Oryzias latipes: one gene and its partner. The protein of the gene in region 2 interacts with the protein of the main gene of each other region in a pairwise test. Links are inferred from orthologs where the notes say so. Each region holds a gene or a part of one and is shown on either strand. Other genes may lie near its edges.

Region 1 (3,754 bases), on a different chromosome or scaffold from region 2:
ACAACAACATAGAACAATTTGCTGGATCTTTTATTAAGGCGTGGCAAAAGACCCGGGGCCTGTTTCAGAAAGGAGGTTAAGTGTAAACTCTGAGTGCGTTAACCCTGAAATCAGGGAAACCCTGGGTTTTCCGTTTCAGAATGGGAGGTTTGTTAAACCAGAGAAAGCAGAGTAAGTCAAACCCGTTTCTGAAAGAGAGGTAACTTCTACTCGGAGTCAGTGTCCATGGTTACTTACGCTGTGAACCTAACCTGGTCGGGAGCAGGTTTTATTCTCCAAACTCGAAGTTTCTGCCGGTCCCCTCCCCTTTTTAAAGACGAAGCGGTATGTTTCGCTTTAACCTTCATTGCCCAAATTTCCGTCACACAGAGACGGTCTACGTGACAAGAATGGCTTGTTCTTTTTTGGAGGACCCAATAGACGAGGAGGCTGCATCAATTCGTAGAGAATTATATTTACCTTGTACGAGGATTTTGAGATGACTCGATTTTTTGTCATTTCCCCATACGTTTTTGTTTGAGCGTTACCGTTTTTCATTGCAGTCAATTCCACATATACAATGAAAACAACATTAGGTATTGCTATGTAGATGTTTCATATGTCAAATATTGTCAACAAAGCCTACATCAATGACATGCTCAAATTTGACCTGATTGATTTATGTTTTTATACCTCATTTTTAGCTGCTGCCATGTTCTTTTAATTCCTGCAGGATTGCATCTACATGAAAATGAAATCAGGGACATTGAATTAGATTAATGTAACAATTACTTTTTGGAAACACAATTTGCTAGCACTGCTTACTTTCTTAATCCCGTATAAACCTATACCACTTGATCAATACAAGGGTAGTGTTGCAGTGTGTGTGTGCTGAGCGGGGTGCGATCCACGATAGACAGGGGGAGGGGCGATTGCAGGTGCAGATGGGGGGGGGGGGGGGGGGGCACGGAGCGGAGGTGTGTGCGTGGGATATATTGTGTGTTCGGAGGACGGAGCACTTAGTTAAATAAAGAGAAGGTGTCATTCCCAGAATAACTGTTTTGGAGTCATTCTTAATCCGCTCTGGAGGTTGAGGGTTTCCAACGGGAAGTGAACCCCGAAGGAGAATTCCCTTCGCACGGTCGGTCGGAAAGACGAGAGAAAAGAAAGGAGAAGTCTTCGCGCAGCGAAAGGTTCAACAGTAGACAAAAGTTCACTTTTAAAAACACAATTGCATGTATTAATATTAAACTGACCAACGTTTGCAAGAGGGTGAGGTTAACAAGAAAGTCCTCTAAACATTACCGACATTAAATGCATTTTTCCCCCAGATTGGTTCTGTACACTATGCAGCATTTCATGCAATTACACCAGGAATAACACTTCAAAAGTACACCTAAATATCCCCATTTTTTATTTCACACCGTACGCTATTTAAAAAATTATTACAGTCAATATTTTATGACAATGATTTAAATGCAAACTTAGGCATTAACTTGAGCAGCTATGTTTTCCCACGCTAACTGTCTCTGTTTTGCAGATGCAGCGGTGTTGCTTTTCTTCTGGAATAATATGTGCTCATATTCACTGTAACTCTGCAGCAGCACGTCAAGTTCAGCTGGCGAAAAATACGCAGACCTCTTTTTTTCACGGTTGCCATGGTGACTCGTGATATCTGCGCTCCATTGATAATGGCTTCTTATAGACGCGGTGCGCACGCTTAACTCCGAATCAGTCCACTCAGAGTTGATTGATCTAACTCGGATCAGCTTCTCTGAAACAGAAAACTCAGAGTTGTTAATCTCCCGATTGACCAACTCGGAGTTCAAGTTCAACCTCAGAGTTGGTTGAACCTCCTTTCTGAAACAGGCCCCTGATTTGACTGAGTCTGAGGTTCTGCTTACCTTCACAGAAGTACCACCCTTGGGAGCCTTATCTTTCTTTTCGGCATCTGCACTTCCTGCAGCAGCTCCTACACAGAATACATCACCAGAACATGAAAACAGCGAGTTGACACTATCACTATCACTCATGAATCACTTTCAGAAGAAGCAACCGGAAAGCCTTATTGTTAATAATAAATACAAGACGAAAGAAAGATTGGGTTACAAATTAATGCTGTATAAAACATGCGGGCTTTCAAACATCAAAATAATTTGGGATTTATTACGAACGACTAACCTTTACCACCCTTACCACCTTTCCCTTTTGGCGGCATTTTACATAAAACAGAACAGAATTACCCAGTAAAGAACCTGAATAACTGATAGCAGCGTACACTCATGCTATGTTATGATAGCATGATTTCCTTCTTCTTTTGGTATATTAGTTGAAAATCGCAACGATCAAGTTTTAGCCCTGCCCCCTGGTGGCCAAATTCAGAATTGCAGCAGCTTAGTGGTTGAAGCAGGGAACAAAATCCTCTTGATCAGGAAAATCCATTTACTGTCAGGAAAACAGGGAATATTTTACCACTAGTGTTTAAATATACTACTGTGTGTCAACAAATCCCCCCCCAAAAAAAAAAAAAAACAAATCCCCCCAAAGTCTTCTGTAGTTCAGTGCTTTTTTAACTCTTTTTTTTTTTCAGCCAAGGTCCACTGTTTCCCTGATAAAAAATCACAAAGCACACCACCAACTGAAAATGGATAGTAAAATAAACTCTTTAGTCTGTATTAACGGGATACAAATCTTCTGATAAAATAATCTTGAATAAGAATCAAATAAACATGAAGAAAATAAGTATCTTGTAATCTTTCATTATTCTTTTAAACTCTGAACCTGTTTGGATAAAGACAAAGATAATTTTCTGACACTGGTAAATCTTTTTTAGACCAATTATGTGAAACTGAATCCTTTCCCGTGGCACACCTGACAGTCTCTCACTGCACACAGTGATTAAAAACAGTGGTTCCCCATCTTTAAAAAAAACGTTGATGTCAGAGTTCCTTTCCTTTATTAATATCAATATTCTACTGTTTTGGTTCACAGAATTGTCAAGCCCGCACATACACACTCAAGCGTTAGTGACAGTGCCGTAAAAACCACACTGTCTAGCACACACTCACAGACCACCAAGTGTTTCACACATGTAGTCTCATTGATTGGGGCATTGCTCGATGACACATTGATGCCCTCCTCTGTCTTCCTGCAGTCATTCACTATCCGAAGGAAGCAATGATGATGAAAAACTATTATTAAAAAAAACAAGCAGATGATAGGAAACAATGAAAAGAAACAATGCAGTGAGTAACCTAAACCATATTTTACTGGAACAAATTTTTTTTTCTTGCAGTCACTTTTGCCCAATTGCATAATTCCTACCAGGGGAAATATTTTAGATTTTTTTTGTCTTGAAATAAACATGTTTCATAAAAACCAGGACCAAAGAATAATTGACAAATAAAAATGAAAATACCTGTGCTTCACAATCATTGCCTTTTTATCACACTAGTTCTTCATGATTAAATATATGACGTGCAGCAGGGCAGCAAAGAAAGATTTTCTAAAATACGTTGATGATCTATGATAAACATTGACTGAGAACTAGACTGAATGAACAACCCCCCAACAGGAAGTACCTGCTGGCTCCAAGAAGCCAAAATCTCATAGCCTTCTATTGAGAAATAAATAGCTGTTACTCAGTCATTCTATTGGTCAGAATGACCATTCTTGTTCTGATACATTTTTTAAACATGTTTTTGCCCATCCTATTTTCTTTCGTTATATATTTTTTTAATTGCAAGTTATTCAAGTTATACACTGACCAATCAGA
Region 2 (3,754 bases):
GAACATGAGATTATAGTCTGTTTAATATATTGAGAATTTGTGACCATACTCTTAAAGGGAAAACATAAACACACTGATGTTGACGAAGGCAAGCATAATCAATTTTATAAAAGATTACTTTTTAGTAGCTGGTGTATTATAAAAAAAAGCCTCATCTTTATTGAAGTATACTCTGTTTATCAAAAAGCATTCTACAAGTTTTAAATATAAAATAAGAGACGAACCTTGAAGAGTTTGCGTGAAAAGTATAAAGCTGTGGTGGACAGAATGATGTTACTACAACATGCCATCCACTCTGTTGACGCCATTCAGGAAAGCGCGCCGGAACACAAACCTGCAAACACACCGGAACTAAAGTGACAATATTTTTACTTAAAGTTCAAATGAAACTACTGACGCTGCCCCTTTTTATAACTGGACTGAACAGAAAGACTAAACTTTGGGGCAAGGAGGAGCAGAACAATGTTTGTGTTCACACGTGACAGAATGTCTTCAGAGCACTGCGCATGCTCCAAAGGAGGCGTTCAAAGTCCCTTGTAAATTCTGAGACGTTGTCAACCATATTAATAATGATCAAACTAGCAAAGATCGGTTAACACTTTTTGTTAAACGTTATTTATTCTTGTTTTATTGGAAATATAATTCTTTGTTTAAAAAAAACATTTTAGGTTCTGTCGAGTAAACGAGTAAATCGTTATTTTTAGGTCGCTGTTAACTACTAAAAAGTTACCATTTTAAAGAGGGTTTTGTGTTAGTGTGTGACATACTCATGCGACAGAGTATTTAACTGAATTTTTTCCTCATAAATTTAAAACTTTACTCCGTTGCACACTGACTGTGTTATTTTTGTTTCTTTCATTGAAGTCGTTTTTTCACGACAGCACTTGAAGGCAGCAAAGTTTGAAAAGTATGGCGACGGAGTGTCTAACAACAATCTCAGAGCAATGGATACGCGACAGATTACAACTAAAACATCCGTGTCTCGGTAAGAGTTTCATTCACCTGTGCATTGGAAAAACAAAAACCCCGCGTAAAACATTTTTTCTGTCTGACTGAAAGCAGATTAGCTATTCAAAGCTATTTTATGATGAACCGTCATCTTTTGGTCATTCATTGTTGTGTGTTTGATGCGCAGGTGATGTCCGGTCACTGAGCCTCCCAGGAACGTTAGAGGAGAAGATTGGACATCTAGGGAACGCTCTGAATAACTTCATTCGCCTGAAGTCTCTGGATCTTTCCTACAACGCCCTGGTTTCTGTGGAGGTTTGATATTTTTAATTTTTCTTATATTAAGAAAATACTTTATACTATAAAAAAAAGTCTCTTCAGAATTTATATTAAACTGATTTCAAATCACAGTCATTTTTTTTATTTTATTTCATGTGACTATTATTTCCATTGTTGGATGAATGCTTACAAATCTGGTTCCTGTTCTTTCTTTAGGGGCTGCAGCATTTAAAAAAACTGGAGAGGTTGATTCTTTATCATAACTGCATACCATCTCTTGAAGAGGTGAAAACTCTGTTCCAGCTTCCTGTTTTAAGAGAGCTGGACCTCAGGCTCAACCCTCTCACCAAAAACTGCCCACACTACTGGGCTTATATCGTGCACGCCTTGCCCAGCTTGCGAAAGCTTGGTAAGCTGGAGTCATCTGGGCCTGTTTTTGTGACTGTTTTCTGTCAAGTTCCCGACATCGTAATGAGCTTTTGGGTTTGCAGACAGCTGCTCGGTCAGAGAGACGGAACGCAAAGTTGCCATCATGCAGTTCTCCTCTGATCTTCCTCCTCAGCAGAAGAGATGCTCTCTGAATCTGGCTGAAGATCAAAGGTACGCCGAGCACAAAATCAGTTTAATGCACAAAACCTTCTTAATGCAGGCTTTAAACACCAATCTGGTCTAAATTCAGAAACTGTATGGAGCTCAGATGATGGAAATCCAGCGGTATATTATAAAGCTGCAATACACACACTTTTATCTCAAGGTTTTTTTCATCTTGTTTCATCCTTTTGTAATAAATCTATTCGTTAATTTCCATCAAACCTGCTTTCTTAAACTAGCTTGTTATTGAAGCCTGGAAGCATCAAATATGTGGTTTTTAATGTATATTTCAACCTTTTAATTAGTTATTTCTCTGTTCTGTGCCTGTTGCTGTCAGAAGCAGCAGGTTTCGTCTGGCTTTGGTCGACCGTTTGACCAAGAGGCTGTCACTCTCAGCAGAAAGTCAGGATATTGTGTTAAACAGAGTCGAGGCTGACCTTGGAGACCAATCTAAAAGAGTCAGCGACTCCGTTTACAGGAAAGGAGAAGGTAAGGACCCTTAAAGGTAATTTTTAATCACACCAAACCTGCTGACGTTCTTTCTTCACGTTGAAACCTTATTCTAGAACCCAAGGAGGAAATATTACAAAATTTCACAGAGAAGAAGAGTTCAACTCCAAAACAGGTGACTTTCTTTTTCTCCATGTCTGATTAAAAAAAAATAGTCACCCTATGCTTGCATGAATGACGGCACCCTTTGCTTGTAGGAATCTACTAAATCCATCCTCAGATATTCACCCAATATCAATGGTAAGTGTGTTTTTGGGTATTTATTTAATGATTTAATTATCTGTGTGTATATCAGAGCACTAGTAAGCAGATGGATTGCAGCAGTTGCTAAAGCAGCTAAAATGTATTTAAGTTGGTCTGAATAAGAGATTTTGTAAACCAATTCATAATGCATCATATTTTTCCCTAACATTTAAGGAAACAGTTCATGGCAATAAAAAGAGATTTTTGGTGGTGTTTGCCTCATTGTTGACTAACTATAATATTTTCAATTGTTTAAGCAGAAACATAAATGTCCACCAGGGAGAGCTAGATGTCAACTCCATAAAAATGTCTGACACTAAAAGATGAAAACATATTTGTGCCTTTCTGTGAATTTACAGATGTTGTTGTATCCAGAGGGCTACAGATGAAGGAGACACCTCCAATGAAAAACTCTACCTCATCTAAAGTAGCTGAAAGGCCTAAAGTGTCCTTCGGTCCTTTTGTAGAGAAACACAGTGCAGACAGAGGACTTCCAAACCAGAAGCTGTCCTTTAAACAAATCAGACACGAAGCTAAGGGCCATTTTACTCCAAACCCTGGTTATATATATATATATATATATATATATATATATATATATATATATATATATATATATATATATATATATATATATATATATATATATATATATATATATATATATATATATATATATATATATATATATATATATATATATATATATATATTTATTTATATTGTGTATTTAACAACTGCTATTTATTGTGGAATTTTGCCAAAGTTCACATTCCTCACTTCCTTGGAACTCTGAATGTACATGACTTTTTCAGATCAAAGCCAGTGTCGTAGCACCTCATTGATCAACATCCGTCCTGCCAGTCCACTGCAACCCGGTTTGACTCTGTCTGAGTCCTCTAACCCCATCTTACACCCTGCAAGACTCACCTACTCTAGCATCAACACGGCAGACGGGAGCAGCAGCCTGAAACAACAAGCTGGAAGGAAAAAAAGGGTTAACATTCAGTTCAGCTCTCCGACTGATTTATACTCTAAATCATAAACCTTTCTTTATTTATGCAAGGATCTTTTTATAGAAAACTTACAGCCTCTGCGAATTCCATTCTCAGGGTACTTACCGGAAGCCCCTGGAGATGCTTCTGAACCTCGTTGACAAACACTGGAGGGGCGAGAGGTCACT

What was found.
Region 1: the proteins of cep72 (region 2) and pin4 interact in binary tests that used the Homo sapiens proteins (3 or more experiments, as listed by UniProt). The two-hybrid records come from large-scale screens. The link is inferred for Oryzias latipes from reciprocal best matches to the Homo sapiens genes CEP72 and PIN4.

What each region holds. Positions count from the first base shown.
Region 1 is NC_019868.2:20,374,483-20,378,236, forward strand, and holds the start of pin4 (peptidyl-prolyl cis-trans isomerase NIMA-interacting 4), read right to left. Parts: upstream 2,306-3,754; 5' UTR 2,198-2,305; coding exon 2,161-2,197; intron 1,952-2,160; coding exon 1,884-1,951; intron 1-1,883.
Region 2 is NC_019874.2:16,684,562-16,688,315, reverse strand, and holds the start of cep72 (centrosomal protein of 72 kDa), read left to right. Parts: upstream 1-817; 5' UTR 818-909; coding exon 910-985; intron 986-1,135; coding exon 1,136-1,263; intron 1,264-1,443; coding exon 1,444-1,636; intron 1,637-1,718; coding exon 1,719-1,827; intron 1,828-2,155; coding exon 2,156-2,307; intron 2,308-2,384; coding exon 2,385-2,443; intron 2,444-2,525; coding exon 2,526-2,568; intron 2,569-2,930; coding exon 2,931-3,131; intron 3,132-3,386; coding exon 3,387-3,568; intron 3,569-3,683; coding exon 3,684-3,754. Other genes in the region: uncharacterized protein LOC101162471, read right to left, coding at 225-308. UniProt on the Homo sapiens protein: Involved in the recruitment of key centrosomal proteins to the centrosome.